Linked DNA regions of Caenorhabditis elegans. The protein of the gene in region 3 interacts with the protein of the main gene of each other region in a biochemical or structural test. Each region holds a gene or a part of one and is shown on either strand. Other genes may lie near its edges.

Evidence for each region. Proteins that work in one complex are often made in the same cells at the same time.
Region 1: of the proteins of prmt-1 (region 3) and crt-1, one has a biochemical effect on the other in vitro, tested with the Caenorhabditis elegans proteins (one study listed by BioGRID).
Region 2: of the proteins of prmt-1 (region 3) and nhr-12, one has a biochemical effect on the other in vitro, tested with the Caenorhabditis elegans proteins (one study listed by BioGRID).

The regions. Positions count from the first base shown.
Region 1 is NC_003283.11:6,097,023-6,102,384, forward strand, and holds crt-1 (Calreticulin), read right to left. Parts: upstream 3,521-5,362; 5' UTR 3,488-3,520; coding exon 3,167-3,487; intron 3,072-3,166; coding exon 2,448-3,071; intron 2,393-2,447; coding exon 2,150-2,392; 3' UTR 1,970-2,149; downstream 1-1,969. Other genes in the region: smut-1 (Synthetic MUTator), read left to right, coding at 83-215, 263-790, 838-1,343, 1,392-1,559, 1,642-1,869; Y38A10A.11 (DNA-directed DNA polymerase), read right to left, coding at 4,882-4,941, 4,985-5,090. UniProt on the Caenorhabditis elegans protein: Molecular calcium-binding chaperone promoting folding, oligomeric assembly and quality control in the endoplasmic reticulum (ER) via the calreticulin/calnexin cycle.
Region 2 is NC_003283.11:10,080,164-10,085,700, reverse strand, and holds nhr-12 (Nuclear receptor), read left to right. Parts: upstream 1-1,651; 5' UTR 1,652-1,678; coding exon 1,679-1,872; intron 1,873-2,057; coding exon 2,058-2,143; intron 2,144-2,189; coding exon 2,190-2,780; intron 2,781-2,841; coding exon 2,842-2,956; intron 2,957-3,006; coding exon 3,007-3,286; intron 3,287-3,351; coding exon 3,352-3,456; 3' UTR 3,457-3,568; downstream 3,569-5,537. Other genes in the region: R04B5.6 (Sorbitol dehydrogenase), read right to left, coding at 1-46, 235-420; nhr-205 (Nuclear Hormone Receptor family), read left to right, coding at 4,017-4,138, 4,316-4,401, 4,452-4,925, 4,997-5,105, 5,153-5,420, 5,471-5,537. UniProt on the Caenorhabditis elegans protein: Orphan nuclear receptor.
Region 3 is NC_003283.11:20,266,877-20,274,305, forward strand, and holds prmt-1 (Protein arginine N-methyltransferase 1), read right to left. Parts: upstream 2,836-7,429; 5' UTR 2,829-2,835; coding exon 2,559-2,828; intron 2,505-2,558; coding exon 1,884-2,504; intron 881-1,883; coding exon 725-880; 3' UTR 501-724; downstream 1-500. Other genes in the region: mdt-17 (Mediator of RNA polymerase II transcription subunit 17), read right to left, coding at 75-353; cdkr-3 (CDK5RAP3 protein homolog), read left to right, coding at 3,241-3,286, 3,338-3,469, 4,978-6,013. UniProt on the Caenorhabditis elegans protein: Arginine methyltransferase that methylates (mono and asymmetric dimethylation) the guanidino nitrogens of arginyl residues present in target proteins.

The DNA.
Region 1 (5,362 bases), about 14 Mb from region 3:
TTGTGTCGTAAAAACCGTTACTTTTCGTTCAAATATTTATTTTCAAACCAAAATATAAACATTTTTGTAATAATCTTTGTAGATGCCTCATCCTTGGAACACTGCCGATGCATTAGACGATAGTCGGGTACAAGTTGAGCACATTGATTTAGTTCCTCCAAAGTATGCAAATGTACTCAACTTCAGATCTATTAAAACTAGAGATTATTATTTTGGTAAACCATGTTCTGGGCAATTAAATATTTCAATAACTTTTCTTCAGCAATGAGAGATCGTCATCAGCAGTTGGGCGCAGTCACATCTTCAAAAGCTGAAACTGACAAATTGAATAAACACTGTGAGGAGAACACGATAATGGTGGATCAAGACGGAGTAGAAACTCCAGCTGATTATGGAACAGAGAGGATGGTTGCACATGCAATAGAAGATCACCGACTTGCCGCCAATTTGCAACGAATAAAAGTTCATATTCTGAATGCAGTTCAACAAAAATCAATTCAAGCTATTCGTGACCGCCGAGGACTTCTAGTGGATGCTCCAACTGGAATCGGGAAGACTTATGCGTTTCTTATTCCGGCGATTGAAATTGCATTGAGGGAGCGACCATTGCTTACCAATATTTCAACCACGCCATCACCAACTATTCTTATTCTTGCAAATACCAACTCACTCGTTGAACAACTTTTTAATCGTTGTGAAGTTCTTCTTGGTTTGATAGATATGGAAGATATTATACCTATTCGAGATATTAAAATTGAAAAACTAGTTGCTAGCTATCAGTTCACAAAAGGTTCGTTACAGCATTCGTCTAACCAAAAAAAAACGAATTCTTTATAGATCAATGCGATATTGCGTTCTGTACGATGGGAAAGCTGAAAGCATCGATCGAGGATAAAACAATTCTTCTTGACAATTTGAAAATGATGATTTTGGATGAATCTGATAAAATGATTGACATTGCATGCTTCGGAAATGACATTGATTGGGTTTTAGACCAACTACAAGAGGATGTGCTCAGAAATCTTCAATCTTGTTTCTTTTCTGCGTCTCACAACAGAAACGAAGATGGTTCAATTGCATTAACTTCACGTCAATCAAGAATGTTAGGTGAAAATCCATGGTCACTGATCCATTGTCCGAGATTGCCTGGATATATCACTCAACGAGTTATTCGAATTGGTGGACAGCGAGTAAATGATATCCATTCGAATCCTTGGATCGTTAAGATGAATATTATTTGTAAATTGTTAGATGATGATCTCAAGGAAATGGGAAGCACAAAAGAAGGCCCATGGAAGCATACTATTGCAATTTTCTGTGAAACTGTCTCAAGAGTTATTCAGGTTTTACCCCTATTCTTTCGATTTTAAAAATATTGAGAACATTTTCAGGTAACTATGGCACTTCGTCAGATGGGATATAATTTCAAACCTGTATGCAGTAGTGTGTTGAAACAACAACAAGCAATCACTTTGAATGATTTGGAGTTTTGCAACATTCATGGAGTTGTATGTACCAATATTATGTCGAGAGGAATCGATGTGTCTTCTGTGAAACAGGTAAGTTTACATATATATTAAATTGATAAAAACATGGCTACTATTGACCCAAATATTTTTTATCTTAAGTCACATATTTCAGACAATAATCATGGAAATGTCCACCGATTTTCCGAGCTACATGCATAGAATCGGACGAGTTGGTCGCGATGGATGTGGTGGAAGAGCTACTGTCCTCATCGATGAGCATCATTTATTTGGCGGACCAATGTCGAATATTATCGAGCAGCTGTGTTCTTTTATGCTCGAATGCGAGGAAACGCTTCCCAATTGGCTTGTAGAATGGCTGAAGTTGCGTCAATCACTTTAATTGAATCACATATCAATTTCCTATTTTGTGCCGGTTTTTATCGCTTTTCTATGTATCTGATCCTGTATTTTATATTCATTGAACTAATCGAACTCGTAAATAGGTTTTAAAATTTTTTTATTATAAAACAAGAAAGGCTATCCAGCATCAAAATGGATGCTCAATAAATTAATAAAACAATCAATTAACCCGAGAGAATAGGAGAGACTTGAATGCGGGGGAATTGTGATGGAGTGGGGGCGATTGTATGAAGCGAGTTGAAAAGCTGTGCACGATTTGCTTAGAGCTCATCGTGTCCTTCCTCCTCTTCCTTCTCCTCCTCATCATCATCCTTCTTGGCCTCCTTCTCCTCCTCGGCCTTCTTGCGAGCCTCCTCCTCAGCCTTGCGGGTTTCTTCGTCGGCCTTCTCCTTCTTTTCCTTCTCAACAGTCTTCAATTTGTCAAAAGTCTCGGCAGCATGGGCCTCGGCCTCCTCAACAGAGTCGGTGATGATAATGTTGTCAAAGATCGTTCCTGACTTGACCTGAAAAAATAAAGTTTGAGTTTCATTTTTGAAAAATAGAATAAAAGTTTCTTACCTGCCACAAATCGAATCCGATGGCTCCCCAGCTTTCATAAGAGTAGAGTTCATCATCAGGAGTGTACTCTGGGTTCTCAATCTCTGGATGGATCCACTTGCCCTTGTAGGCTGGGTTCTTGATCTGCTTTGGCTTCCACTCACCCTTGTATTCTGGGTTGTCGATCATTGGTGGCTCCCATTCTCCGTCCATCTCGTCATCCCAGTCTTCTGGCTTCTTGGCATCTGGATCTGGGATGTGCTCTGGCTTCTCCCAATCTTCTGGCTTGGCATCCTCGGCATCATCGATGTACTCACGCTCATCCCAGTCCTCTGGCTTCTTTGCATCTGGATCCTTGATCTTCTTGGCTGGAAGAAGATCCCAGTCCTCCTCGAGGCTTCCAGTTTGGGCGCTTTCTCCGTCGATCTTGACTTCGTAGGTATTGTCGGAGTTGAGGATGAGAGTGTAGAGATGAGTGAGTTCGTCGCTCTTGCAGGTGATTTCCTTCTTGATGAGCTTGTTCTCTCCCTTGTAGTTAAGGATAACGTGGACACGGCGAGTTGGTCCGCAGATGTCTGGGCCGAACATGACGTTGTATGGGGTCTCTCCGTGGAAATCTCCCAAGTCAGCATCAGCTCTCATGACCTGGAAAATAAATATTGTTTTAATTGAGAAACATGTTTTGATACTAACAAACTAATGCGAAAAAATTATCACATCAAGAAATTTAAAATACTAACCTTAACGTATCCACCTCCACAGTCGATTCCTTGCTCGTGCTTGACGGTGTATTGGATCACAAGAGTCTTTCCTTTGTTGGAGAAGTCCTTGTCGAACTTGGCGGCACGGGAGTAGAACTTGGCATCTTGGCTGGTCTGGATTCCTTGGTCGCGGGACTCAACATCGAAGAACTTTCCAGCTGAGAGCTTGAAGGCTCCAAAGTCATCCTTGTGCTTGGATTGAACCCATCGCTTCTCCCATGAGGCGTCGTTGAACTCCTCTTTGAAGTAGACTTCAGCCGAAACGACGGCAACGATTGCTAACAGGCAGAGTGATTTCATTTCGTTTTTCGATAAAACGACACCAAGTTGAATCTGAAATTAAAAAGTAAATATAACAATTAAACATATGAATCGGAAAAAGAAGAGATAAATTGAATGAGAATATACCAAAGAATAAAATTCGAGAATTTCAGAGAAGAAAGACTAGAAATGAAACCGAACAAGAGCAAAACTGAAACTGATGATGTTGAACTGAGCTCGTCTGCTACGACAATGGAGTAAGTCGACGTGTGTCTTGCGTGGCTGACACGGCTCGAGGTGCCGCGTATCTATTGGTCCACGTCAGCGACTGGCCAATCGGCGGTCGCCACACATTGAGAATAGGCGGAGCGTGTCTGATGAGAGGCCACGTTGCGTGTCGGCCTCGCACTGCGAAGAGAGCGAGAGAGTGAGTGAGTTGAAGAGATGCAGACGGAGAGCATTTTGGGATAAGGAAATAATGCCCTTGCGGGTGGACAGCAGTCCAGCAGAGGGCTTTTTGATATTATCGCAATTGGGAATCTGATTGAAAAGAACAGAAACAGCTGAGATCAGTATTCTTTAAGGGGTTTAGAACTTTCCATGCTTATTTTGCACTAAATTTCTAGACTTTCGGATTTAAAAATTGGATCACACAGCCAGAATGTAGTAGAATGTATTTATCAACCAATTTCTGAATGAAACCAACGATAAAAACACATTATCGCGTTTATGTGGACATGACGAATCGAAAAATCGCCCTTGACACAGTTATCCATTTTTTGCTTCGTTTTGCAAAACCAGTTTCACAAAAGACGCATGACAAAAATGATGAACCATCGGAAAAAGATGGAAACTACATTTTAAACGACCGTTTGTGTAAATAAAACAATGAAAATGGCGAAAATGAGAGACAAGAAGACTGAAAAAGGCTGAAACGGATGAATAAAATTTGAATGGCGCTTTGGCGCCATCGTTTGGTGTTTGCGTAAATTGCGTACTCTGGAGAAAATTGTGGTTGACCGTATCACTCGTGAGCCAAAGCTGAAATTTGAGCATAATTGAATAAATGCACATATTTTTCAAAGTGGTGATATTTTTCTGGTGTTTCCTGGATTGTTTCTGAAATATCATTTCCAGATTCGAAATTAGTACTGCTCATTATAAAAGTGGTGCTTCAATTCTCTTATCAAGTCCTGGTGGACTCCAGGAGTACAGCACTCGTTATCATCTAAATTATAAAATTGATAAATTCTATATGAAAACATAGTATGAAGAATAATGTGAATATTTTATTAGCTGGCCAGTACAAACGAGTTCCTCTTTACCAAAAGGTACATTGTAAACAATTCGGCATTGAGAACAAACAATAAGTGCATTTTCAAATATTTATTCGGTCCTGGTCAAGAGAAAGATCGGCGACGAGAAGTACCTCGTTAGCCACGCGTCATTTCCACAATTTTTTCACATTCGCATGCTACTCGGGCTCGGTTCACCTGAACATCTAGAATTATAATTTTTTCAGGAATATTTTTAGACCTCTGAACTCCAGGAAACTGCATTTCGAACAAAAAGTCTGACACGATCACAAGTTGACGTAATATAAGGAAAGGTGTAGAGCATTGCAAAATGATTTCGATCTTGCCTGAAATTTATCACGAAATGATATTGTAATTTACCGTACTCCTTACTATAGCTTTAAATTATTCAAATGCCTACCTGCCTGCCTGGAAGCAAAACTTCAAGAGACCTACGTCTACTGTTAAGTTCAATGCAAGCCACACCTGCCTTCTAGGCACATAGGTAGGCACTTATCAATATTGAGGTAGTCCTACTTCTCACAGTGTCTACAGTATGACATCGGCAAGAAATCGGTTTTTGATTATTTAAAAAATCTAACTAAATCCAAAAAATAAA
Region 2 (5,537 bases), about 10 Mb from region 3:
CACTTCCAATTTCAGAAACAACTCCAGAACTCTCATGGCCTAAAACCTGAAAACTTTTTTTTTTAATTTTTAAATACACTTTTTTGTTCACTGGAGTTTTTTAACAGAAATATTTTATTTTAAAATTGATTATTTTGATTAAAAAAAGGAGGTTGTACTATACATGTGTTCTGTCAAAATAAAAGGGTTGAATTACTCACGGTAACACTATAAAATTACTTTTATATTTCTCACCATCGGTTCTTTAACAACAAATGATCCAATTGCTCCGTGTGTCAAAAAGTGTACATCACTTCCACAAATACCAACAGTATTAATTTTAACAAGAACTTGTCTTGGTCCCGGTTTGGAAATTGGAGCTTGTTCAAGACGTAAATCGTTTATTCCGTAGAGGACAGCAGACAAATTATCTTGAGACATTTCAAATTAGAAGGATTTAATATCAGGTTAAAAATTGAATAAAAGGATGCTTTCACGAATAAGCGGATGCTGAGCTCAACTACGTTGTTGTTGAGAGTCTGGCAGAATGGACACATGTCAGTGCCCAGTACAAAATGTTACACCCATTTATTTTGATATTATCGCATCAAGCCAAGCTGGTCAAAAACTAAAACAACTTTATCACAGGAATTCAAACAGAAAATTCATACTACATCCTACTGGTGTTCATTAGTAAATATATAATACAAGACGTATAAGACAATTTTCAGAAATTCCAAATATCAGGTTACCATAAATCTCGGAATTAATACGAAACATCATACTAGTTAAATGACAATTTTGTAAGTCAGATGAAACATTGAAGGAATGTTTAATGTTTGCACAGTAATTAGCTAAAAATTTCAAAATTTGATTTTGTTGAAGAACTTTAAATTCAAAATTATTTTGCCCGAAAGTTGAGGATTTTTTTCTATTGAAACAAGAATGTATGTTATCCTGTGCATAAATGAGTATGAAACAAAAAAAAGTCCCATTAGAAATCATAGACATGGTCTAGCTTTTAAACCATTAGGTTTGCGGATCAAGATTAAAATTCGAATTTCGGTACCGCTTTTATTGGGGATATCAAAAATTGGTTTGCGCTGCTGTGGAGGAGTGCCGAAAAAATAGTATTAATTCGTGAATTTTCATGTGCATATTATTCGATCAGAAAGTTAAACGAGCATTCTAGATTGAATATCAAAAGTTTCGGAATCATAGAATTAGAGAAAATTATTTGTTTGTTTTATAGTCTGTTTTTTATGCCATTTTTTGCCTAAATTAAAAATTGAAATATGAGTTGTGTTGTTTCTTGTTATTTAGTAACAAACATAAAGTCACTTTTGTCGTAAGATATATTTTGTAGTCAGGTAGTTGAAATGTCATCATCACCGTTATCTTTCTAGAAACTCAATCAATAATACATGAGACGCAGACACTACAAATACGCTATTCTCTGTTCTGTGATCTCGCTACGAACCAGGCTACAAACTACAACCTAGCCGTCTCACGCACACTATTTCTCTTCTTTGTAGTCTTCTCTGTCAATACACTCCAATACATTTGGCCACACAAACGTGTCTCGCCTCTATTTTCTCTTATTTCTCACCTTTTTATTTTCTACATTTTTCAATTTTTGATATAATAATTTTTCGTTACAAAATCTTAATATTTTCAGGAAAATAAAAATTTTCACAAAATGGAGCAGATACCTCAGGAACAAAAAACAGAACCTTTTCTTGCTTCATTCACGACTACAGAAAAACTTGGAACGGAAACACCGACTACGTCAATTACTCCTAATACTCAATTTCGTGGAAGGTATGAAAAACCAAATTGTGCGGTTTGCAATGAAGTTGGAGATGGATTACATTTTGGAGCAGAAGCTTGCAGGTACCTTTTTGATTTTTTATTGATCACCGGTTGTTTTAGTAATTGAAAAGTTTATCGGGCAATCGACTTCAAGAATTTTTAAAATTCATTTATATATTTGATTAACTTTTTCCAATTATTTTTTAACAAGATCTCAATTGAAAGTTCTAATAGCTTAACACTTATAATTTCCAAAAAACTTTAAGAGCATGTACTGCATTTTTCCGACGGAGCGTGGCACTTTCAAAGAAATATGAATGCAGAGCAGGCAGAAACTGTGAAGTTTCTTCGAGTAAGTATAGCGATCATTTTTCAAATTATTTGTTTTCTTCTTTCAGATATTCGATGCATGTGCCGCTCGTGTCGATATGACAAATGTATAGAAGTTGGAATGAATCCAGAATGTGTTCAGAATCGTCGAGAAAACGATACTCCCAAAGCTGATCTTCAATTTGATACTTCAAAAACTGAAATCAGACGACCAATTCCAAATTTTAATATTGTTCCACAGGCTTCAGCTGTTCCATCAACATCCAACTTTATGGATTTTTCAATATTCAAAGATACACCAATCAGTAATTTTTCGGCATTCTCCCCTGCATCGCTTCCTGGACTCAGTTCTTCACCATCTCTTGAAACGATGCCTCTTCTCGAAAGAATGAGAATTAATTATGATAAAATGGAAAATGCAAGGAATGTGATTCATCGAAGAGAAGGAGAAAATATATTTCAACAAAAAGTTCCAAGAGCAATCACATTTCGAGAGGCAACTGAAGTAACAACAAAGGAAGTTTCATTAGTTGCTGATTGGATCGAATGGTGTTTTGACGATTTTGGATTATTACCTGTTGATCAGAAAACGATTTTGTTTCAAAACTTTTTTGTGTTTTTCTGTATGCTTGAAAGAGCATTCATGACTGTCAAAAGTGGTGAGTTTTTTTTTGAAAACTAATACGAGAAATCAAAACTTTAAAACATGAATGATTTCAGGACGTGATGGAATTGTTGTAATGGCTTCAAAAGACTATATTGACTACGATAATCTTGAAGGATTTTTCAAAGAATGCAATAGTGGAACAGGTGGTACTCCTGCAGAAATTGCAAAGTAAGTAAATGTTCCGTTCATGAAACGTTGTCCTGACAGTGGTACTTCAGACTTTGCAGACTGATTAGGCCGTCATTCGAATTACAAAAGAGGAGTCTTATCAACTTGATGCGATTGGAAAATGTAGATTCTTACGAGTTTTTTGCATTATGCGTTATGTTGTTCTGGGATTTTGGATTGGAAGGACAGTCTGATGAGTGTAATGAAGTTGGACGACGAGTCAAACATCGAGTTACAAGAGAAATGACTTTTTATTTGAGAAATGTTAAGAAACACGAAGAACCACTTTATAGGATGGCAAGTGTCGTGTCTATTCTGCCAAGCTTACAGGTAATTTTTTGATAAATTATTCATTGAAAAATCGAAAGTACGGTGTTTAACTATTTTTATTCCAGAGAGCAGTTCGCCGTTTCCAAGAGGACATCGAAATGGCTAATATCTTCAATATTTATGCTCTACCTGAGAATTTCGTCAATATTATAAATGGAAAATTTAATTGATTGTGGTTTTTCTATCTGTGATATACTTTTGTCCATCTTTCATTGAAACCTTGTAACTAATAGCTGTGATCTTTTTCGAAAAATTAAATAAATAAGTATTAATTAAACTTTCTCGGTCAAAATTTTGGAATATCACTTATGATTGTTTTGTTGAAAACTCCGCTTTTCAATTTCAAATTTTAACTGTGTACATGAACTAGCAAATTTAAACAAAATGAAAATGGTAATTCCCTAGAAAATATGAAAATATGCTCTATCCGTTAGTTGTTACTCTTAAAATAAGTTTAAGTAGAAAACAGTTTCCAATCTTCTGACCCTTTGAACATAAAAATGTAGTTATTGTAGTTTGGCTTCATACTTGAAAATAGCACGATTTTGTAAGAGAGTTTTGGTTGTACCCGATAAGAAAAAACAAGTCTCAACAGGTCACAAAGGCTACAAACGTAGGCAGTATCTCAATTCTCTCACTTGGACCAGGCAACGTATTCTCTTGTTCGTATCTTTCTACTTTTTGTCTGTGTTTCTATTTCTATTGCACTCACTTATAATATTATGAAGTTATGGATTCATTGAATTTCCAATTTTTTGAACAAGGATTATCACAAAAGGAAACAAAAAAACCGAACTGTGCAATTTGTGGCGATGTTGGGGATGGTCATCACTTTGGTCTCGATGCGTGCAGGTTGGTTTCAAATAATGGGGTTATTCAAGTAATATCGGAAAATTAAAGTGTAGAAAAATTACGACGCAACTGTATTCAAGTATATAAAAACATGTATTTAAATACATTTTGCTACATTGCTTAAATAACCTCATAAGAATATTATTGTTTAAGTTACAATAACAATTTTAATTTAAGAGCTTGTGCCGCATTTTTCCGAAGAACTGTGGCTCTGGGAAAAAAATTCGAATGTCGACAGCAAGGAGCTTGTAAAATTAATACAAGTGAGTTTTTTCATTACTTCTTATTCTCCATTAATTTTAATTTGTTTCAGTCATTCGTTCAATATGTAAAAGTTGCCGTTTGAACAAATGCCTAAACTTGGGAATGAAAAGAAGTTGTGTTCAACCAAGAAGAGATAAACCTCAAAAAGAAGAAAAACTAATTTTACCGTCCATGAATGTTAGTCCAGCTGATATTGAAGTCTCATGCATTGAAGTTCCGATAGCTGTTGAAGCTATGCCCATTCTTCAGAAAATGCTGGCGAATTACGAAAAATTGAAAAATTCGAGAAATATCATCCATAGAAGAGAAGGTGATAATATATTTGAGAAACGAACTCCGAGATCTTTGAAATTTCGAGAAACATTGGAAATATTATCAAATGAAATGTCACTGGTTGCTGATTGGATTGGATGGTGCTTCAATGAATTTGAATTTCTTCCAACTGATCAGAAATCAATTCTTTTCTCAAACTTTTCTGTCAATTTTATTGTTTTGGAAAGAGCATTTTTGACAAGTAAACACAGTAAGCTAATAATTTATTGTTTGAATATATTTATTGTTTGAACACATGTATTTTAAAAATAATTTTTTCAGATAACCTAAACCAATGGGTTTTGCAATCGGGTGATTATATACAAATTGACAACCTTGAAGAATTTTTCACAGATGAACAACTAAAAATTGATGGTACAAAACTTGCCAAGTACGTTAAAGTCCAATTGAATAATTATTAAATATTTACATTTTCAGACTTTTCAAGCCATCACTAGAGCAAAATGATAACTTTCATAAACTTTTGAAGTCAGAAAAAATTGAAATGTACGATTTTCTGGTTTTTGTTGTTTTATTATTCTGGGATCATGGAATTGTTGGACAAACAGAAGAGTGCCGAGAAATATCCAAAAAGATGAAATCAAATGTTACAAATGAATACATTTATTATTTGAAGTATATTCAAAAAAATGAGAACCCAGTATGTCAGTTGACAATGCTTGTGTCGATATTAACATGCTTGCAGGTACAGTTGATATTATTTCATTAATTTAATAATTAAAATAACATTTCCAGAGAATCGTCTGTCGATTACGAGAAGATATGTCACTCGCTCATGTTTTTGATGGTTATACGCTTCCAC
Region 3 (7,429 bases):
AGCCTGAAAATCGATGATTTTCTGACTTTTTCCCGAAAATTATTCGATTTTTCTTGATTTTCGCCGGCTTCTACCTCATCATCGAGTTCATCTTCGGGATCAACCTTCGAATTTTCATAAGGCGATTTTGTGCCCACTAGCTTCGTCCATTCCACCTTCCGAGCCAATTTTCCAACATGATCAGTGAACGTCTCGGGCTGCAGGTACCTCTCCACACCGTCAAATCCGATTTCCTGGATTTTCCAGTCATCATTGGATTCCAGCACGAGATCCACTCCTAGTCGTTTTGTGAGATTCACAATGTCTTCGGATTCCGGCTCGATAGGCTCCACCACTTCATCGCCGTCTTCCATTTTTTTTGTGCTAAACTTTTTTAAAAATAATTTTTCGGTTTTTCTTTTGGCGCTGCTCACTATTGATTGAATATTAAAAATATATCTAAAGGCTGCGTAACCTATAAATTATAAAATCGCTTAAAAATTGCAAAAAACTTGAATTTTGGCAGATTTTTTTTTATGGAAAAAGGTCAACAAATGGAGTACCGAGCAGAGTGAGCGTGCGCGCGGATAGAGGAGGTGCGCGACAACAACCCGCATCGAGGTATATACAATCGAGTATCTGCGGAAATCGGGAGGTTTCGGGGGGAACAACGGGGGATCAACAAAGTGTAAAAATTGGGGGCAAAAAAGTGTGAGAAAAAAGACGAAAAAAAAAACAGCAAAAATTAGTGCATGGTGTAGGTGTTCTGCTCGTTGAGATCACACACTTCTCCCTTGAAATCGAACGAAATGTTGATATCCAAGTCACGTTCGTTGTTCTTGTTTGGTGCCATCTCGAATGATCCGGTTATTTCCTCGCCTTTCTTTACTGTGAGCGCGTCCTGAAAAAATCGAAAAATTGAAAAAAAAAATAAAATTTGAATCGAAAGTGTCGAATTTGAAGTCAAAGATGATGTGAAAATTGCAATTTTTTTTCTTTTTTATTAAAACAAAACTGGGTTTTTCTAGCTAACGAAAATTAGTGAAAAATACAACTTTTTGCCTAAAAACCCCGGTTTCAGTCAGAAAATCCGGTTTTTACTCGAAAAATCGATAGAAAAGTGCAAAATTCGTGCAAAAATCTTTAAAAAAACACAAATTTAATACTTAAGACTACTACAAACTACTAGTTTTGGGCGCTGCTAAACTACAAAATTACAAGATTTGGGCGCTGCTAAACTACAAACTACAAGCTTTTGGGCGCTGCTAATTCGCTTTTGGGAGCTGCTAAACTACAAACTACTAGTTTTGGGCGCTGCTAAGCTACAAACTACGATTTTGGGCGCTGCTAGACTACAAACTACAAGATTTGGGCGCTGCTAATTTAATTTTGGGCGCTGCTAAGCTACAAACTACGATTGTGGGCGCTGCTAGACTACAAACTACGAGTTTTGGGCGCTTCTAAGCTACAAACTACAAGATTTGGGCGCTGCTAAACTACAAACTACGAGTTTTGCGCGCTGCTAAGCTACAAACTACGAGCTTTGGGCGCTGCTAAGCTACAAACTACAAGATTTGGGCGCTGCTAAGCTACAAACTACGATTGTGGGCGCTGCTAGACTACAAACTACGAGTTTTGGGCGCTGCTAAGCTACAAACTACAAGATTTGGGCGCTGCTAAACTACAAACTACGAGTTTTGGGCGCCGCTAAGCTACAAACTACGAGTTTTGGGGGCTGCTAATTCATGTTTTCTTAATTTTTTGGCGAATTTTGTTTCAAAAACTGTGAAAAGGTCGATTTTCAGCCCAAAAATCGAAGTTTTTACCATTTACTGACTAAATTTGGTGAAAAACTGTTGAAAAATGGTATTTAACCCGAAAAAAAGTTATTTTTAAGCGCATACTTTAAGATAAAAGACGGTCTGCTTCCAATGAGTGTACTGTACATCTGGCCCAGTCGAGAATCCGGTTTTCTTGTGGCACTTGGAGAACTCGACGGTGAAGAAGGTGACGAAAGCTTGAATATAGTCGCTGCGAGTGCATCTCAGCTTAAAGTCCGATTTGAACGTGAGATCCTCGATTTTAACGGTGTACAAATCAACGTCCTTCAGCAGACAATTGTTGGTGTTGACCTGAGCGTTGTCGACGATATCGACGAGTGGCTCCTTGATCGCGACGTTCTTGATAGCGGACATGTTGAATCCGTAGACTGAATCCCACCAGTGGATCTTGTCCTCCTTGTACTGACGATCCTCGATAGCACAGACGTAGAGACGAGCCTTGTCCGGGAACAACATTCCATTCGGAGCCAACCATCTATCGCGGGCGACGAGCACAGTGTTGAGCATCGACTCGTAGAACAAGCAGTATCCCATCCACTCGGAAATGATGATATCGACCTTCTCAATGCCTCCTGGCAACTCGTGAACGTCCTCTACCTTCGCCTGAATCACCTCGACGATGTGGTCCAGGTTGTTGTCGGCGATTATTTTGCGGGAGGTGAGCGCCATGTTGGAGAATTCCATCTGAAGGAAAAGGAAATTTTTAAAAACCGTTCAAAAAATCCAAAAAAAACTCACCGCGAAAACCTTCTTCGCTCCAGCCTTGGCGGCGAACATGGAAAGAATTCCAGTTCCCGAGCCAACATCCATCACAACTTTGTCTTTGAACAAGTGCGAGTTATGATAGATCGAGTTCCGGTAGGTGGTGGTTCGCACCTCGTCCTTGAGCATCTCCTCGTGGATACCGAAGTGAGCGTACGAGTCGAAGTAGTAGTCCTTGCTGGTCAACTCTTTTGCAGCCGGTGCCGCCACCGGCGCATCTGCGGACTTCCCGTTTTCGGTACTCATTGTCCCGCTGGAAAAAGGTTAATTATTAAATTAATTAATGTGAGATCCACATGCTCTGAAATCCACTTTTAGGGCCAAAATTCATGTATTTTCTTGTTCGAAAAGCTTTTTAATCAAAAAATAATTAATTTTCAGCAAAAAAAACCAAAAAATCAATTGAAAATCAACTGAAAATCATGAAATTCGAGTGAAAAAGACGAAAAAAAAAGGAAAACTCATTTCAAATCAACACCTAAAAATGCGGGCGTTGCGAGACCCAACACACACGAAACCGCATGCGCCTTTAAATTTGTGTCGATTTACGCAGTGGCTGACGTGTATTTTTCCATCGAAATTTTCTTCTTTTTTTGGGAGATTTCTGAATTTAAAATTGAATTTTAAGTTAAAATTTTAATTTTTCAGATAAAAAATCATGTCAGACGACTTGCCAATCGATATTCACAGCAGTAAATTGCTTGGTAACTCGTTATCCATTAATTTTAACCCAAAAAACACCGCAAAAACTTTAGATTGGCTGGTTTCCCGTCGTCATTGCAACAAAGATTGGCAAAAAAGCGTGGTGGCGATTCGAGAAAAGATCAAACATGCCATTTTGGACATGCCGGAGTCGCCGAAAATCGTGGAGCTGCTGCAAGGAGCGTGTTAGTTGGTTTTTTGCCCAAAAAAGACCAAAAAATTGTTAAAAAACTACAAAAAGGCTCGACTACCAAGTTTTTTTTGCAAAAAATCTGATTAAAAAAAATAGTTTTTCACCAAAAACAGTCAGAAAAACGAATAAAATCTCTCTTGTCCGCAGGAGGCTTAGGCTCACCCTTGAACCAAACGGACAACCTTTACCTTTACTTTTTAAATTTACGGAAAAATGCAAAAAATTCAATAACAGTCCCATTAACAGCTCGAAATCCGGATTAGCAGCGCCCAAATCTTGTAGTTTGTAGTTTTAGCAGCGCCCAAAATTGAATTAGCAGCGCCCAAATCTTGTAGTTTGTAGTTTTAGCAGCGCCCAAAATTGAATTAGCAGCGCCCAAAACTTGTAGTTTGTAGTCTTAGCAGCGCCCAAAATTGAATTAGCAGCGCCCAAATCTTGTAGTTTGTAGTTTTAGCAGCGCCCAAAATTGAATTAGCAGCGCCCAAAACTTGTAGTTTGTAATGTTAGCAGCGCCAAACCATTTTTTTGAGAAAAATCCAATTAAATTACAGTTTTTAGTCGTTTTTCGCCAAATTTAGCGAGAAAAATCATTAAAATAGAAAAAATAATAAATTTTTCTGTCAAAAAAGCCGTAATTATTCAATTTTTAATCTAAAAATTGCCAAAAATTCAGTTTTTCACCCAAAAAAGTCAGAAAAACATATAAAATTGTGATTTTTGCGGTGAAAACCGACTATAATTTAGTTTTCGTGCCGAAATTTACGAAAAAAATGCAGAAATTTCGATAAAATTCCCATTAACAGCTCGAAATCTGGATTAGCAGCGCCCAAAACTTGTAGTTTATAGTGTTAGCAGCGCCCAAAATTGAATTAGCAGCGCCAAACTTTTTTTCTGCAAAAACCTGATAAAATAACATTTTTTTGAATTATTTTTCGCCAAATTTAGTTAGGAAAATGCATTACAATGCTATTTTTGCCGTAAAAATCTTCAAAAAATCGATTTTTATTCAATTTTTAATTTAAAAATTGCCAAAAATTCAGTTTTGCACCAAAAACAGTCAGAAAAACATATAAAATTGTGATTTTTGCGGCGAAAACCGACTATAATTTAGTTTTCGTGCCGAAATTTACGAAAAAAATGCAGAAATTTCGATAAAATTCCCATTAACAGCTCGAAATCCGGATTAGCAGCGCCCAAAACTTGTAGTTTGTAGTGTTAGCAGCGCCCAAAATTGAATTAGCAGCGCCCAAAACTTGTAGTTTGTAGTGTTAGCAGCGCCCCAAATTGAATTAGCAGCGCCAAACTTTTTTTCTGCAAAAACCTGATAAAATAACATTTTTTAAAATTATTTTTCGCCAAATTTAGTTAGAAAAATGCATTACAATGCTATTTTTGCCGTAAAAATCTTCAAAAAATCGATTTTTATTCAATTTATTTTTTTTTGACCTGAAAATTGCCAAAAATTCAGTTTTTAAGCTAAAAACTCGATTTTTTTTCCAGATATCAACTATTTCCACTGCTGCCAAATCATCGAAATCCTGCGCGACACGGAAAAAGACACGAAAAACTTTCTGGGCTTCTACTCCTCCCAGCGTATGAAGGACTGGCAGGAAATCGAGGGAATGTACAAAAAAGACAATGTCTACCTGGCAGAAGCGGCCCAAATTCTCCAGCGACTGGCCCAATACGAGATTCCGGCCTTGCGGAAACAAATCTCCAAGATGGATCAATCCGTGACAGATGCAATCAGGAAACACTCAGAATACGGGAAACAAGCCGAAGATGGCCGGAAACAATTCGAGAAGGAAATCTCCAGAATGCAGTTGAAAGGTGTTCATTTGCGAAAAGAACTGCTCGAACTCGCCGCAGATCTCCCCGCGTTCTACGAGAAAATCACCGCGGAAATCCGGAAAATCTCCGCGGCCCGCGACTACTTTCAGGCCTTCCGGGACTATATGAGCCTGGGAGCTGCTCCAAAGGATGCTGCTCCGATTCTTCCAATAATCGGGTTAATTGGAGAGCGGGGGCTTGACGTGACGACTTATGAGTGGAAGTATAACCAGAAGCCGGATAAAGTGGAAAAACCGAATTTCGAGATGCTCCTGACCGCCGCTGAGGACTCGGATGAGATCGATTTCGGCGGCGGCGATGAAATTGACTTCGGAATTGCTGCAGAAGACGATGCGGTTATTGATTTTTCCGCAGTAGTCGACCTAGTAGCAGATGACACTGGAGCAGTCGGCGAGGCAATAGCTTCAGGCCAGGATGCTCTTCACCTTCTCGAGAACTCGGAAGCTCAAAAAGCTGTGAAGCACGAGCTCATCGAGCTTTTAGCCTTTCTCTCGATGCGTTTGGACGATGAAACTCGAGAAACGACGGCCGATGTTCTGATCCGTGGAGCCGAAAAACGTCCCGATGGCGTGGCAGCCGTTACGGAGAAGCGCCTGAAGACGTGGATTACGGAAGTGGAGGGGATTTTGAAGGAGCTGGAGAATCCGCAGAAAGTGCACTTGTTCAAGATTCGTGGATCTCCGCAGTGCGTTTGCAATTTCAAGTGGTTTCGGGAGGAAAACCAACTGAAAATATGACATTTTATTATGATTATGATTAAAAATCGCCTTTTCACTGCAGAAAAACTCCGAAAAATCACTAAATTCGACCAAAATTCGATAAAACTGCCGGAAAAAGTTTTGGCGCTGCTAAACTACAAACTACAAGATTTGGGCGCTGCTAAATCGATTTTGGGCGCTGCTAAACTACAAACTACAAGAATTGGGCGCTGCTAATACAATTTCGGGCGCTGCTAAACTACAAACTACAAGATTTGGGCGCTGCTATTCGATTTTGGGCGCTGCTAATTCGATTTTGGGCGCTGCTAAACTACAAACTACAAGATTTGGGCGCTGCTAATTCGATTTTGGGCGCTGCTAAACTACAAACTACAAGATTTGGGCGCTGCTAATTCGATTTTGGGCGCTGCTAAACTACAAACTACAAGATTTGGGCGCTGCTAAACTACAAACTACAAGATTTGGGCGCTGCTAAGCTACAAACTACAAGATTTGGGCGCTGCTAAACTACAAACTACTAGATTTGGGCGCTGCTAAACTACAAACTACAAGATTTGGGCGCTGCTAAACTACAAACTACTAGATTTGGGCGCTGCTAATTCGATTTTGGGCGCTGCTAAACTACAAACTACAAGATTTGGGCGCTGCTAATACAATTTTGGGCGCTGCTAAACTACAAACTACTAGATTTGGGCGCTGCTAAACTACAAACTACAAGATTTGGGCGCTGCTAAACTACAAACTACAAGATTTGGGCGCTGCTAATACAATTTTGGGCGCTGCTAAACTACAAACTACTAGATTTGGGCGCTGCTAAACTACAAACTACTAGATTTGGGCGCTGCTAATTCGATTTTGGGCTCTGCTAAACTACAAACTACAAGATTTGGGCGCTGCTAATACAATTTTGGGCGCTGCTAAACTACAAACTACTAGATTTGGGCGCTGCTAATTCGATTTTGGGCGCTGCTAAACTACAAACTACAAGATTTGGGCGCTGCTAATTCGATTTTGGGCGCTGCTAATTCGATTTTGGGCGCTGCTAAACTACAAACTACAAGATTTGGGCGCTGCTAAACTACAAACTACAAGATTTGGGCGCTGCTAAGCTACAAACTACAAGATTTGGGCGCTGCTAATACAATTTTGGGCGCTGCTAAACTACAAACTACTAGATTTGGGCGCTGCTAATTCGATTTTGGGCGCTGCTAAACTACAAACTACAAGATTTGGGCGCTGCTAATTCGATTTTGGGCGCTGCTAATTCGATTTTGGGCGCTGCTAAACTACAAACTACAAGATTTGGGCGCTGCTAAACTACAAACTACAAGATTTGGGCGCTGCTAAGCTACAAACTACAAGATTTGGGCGCTGCTAAACTA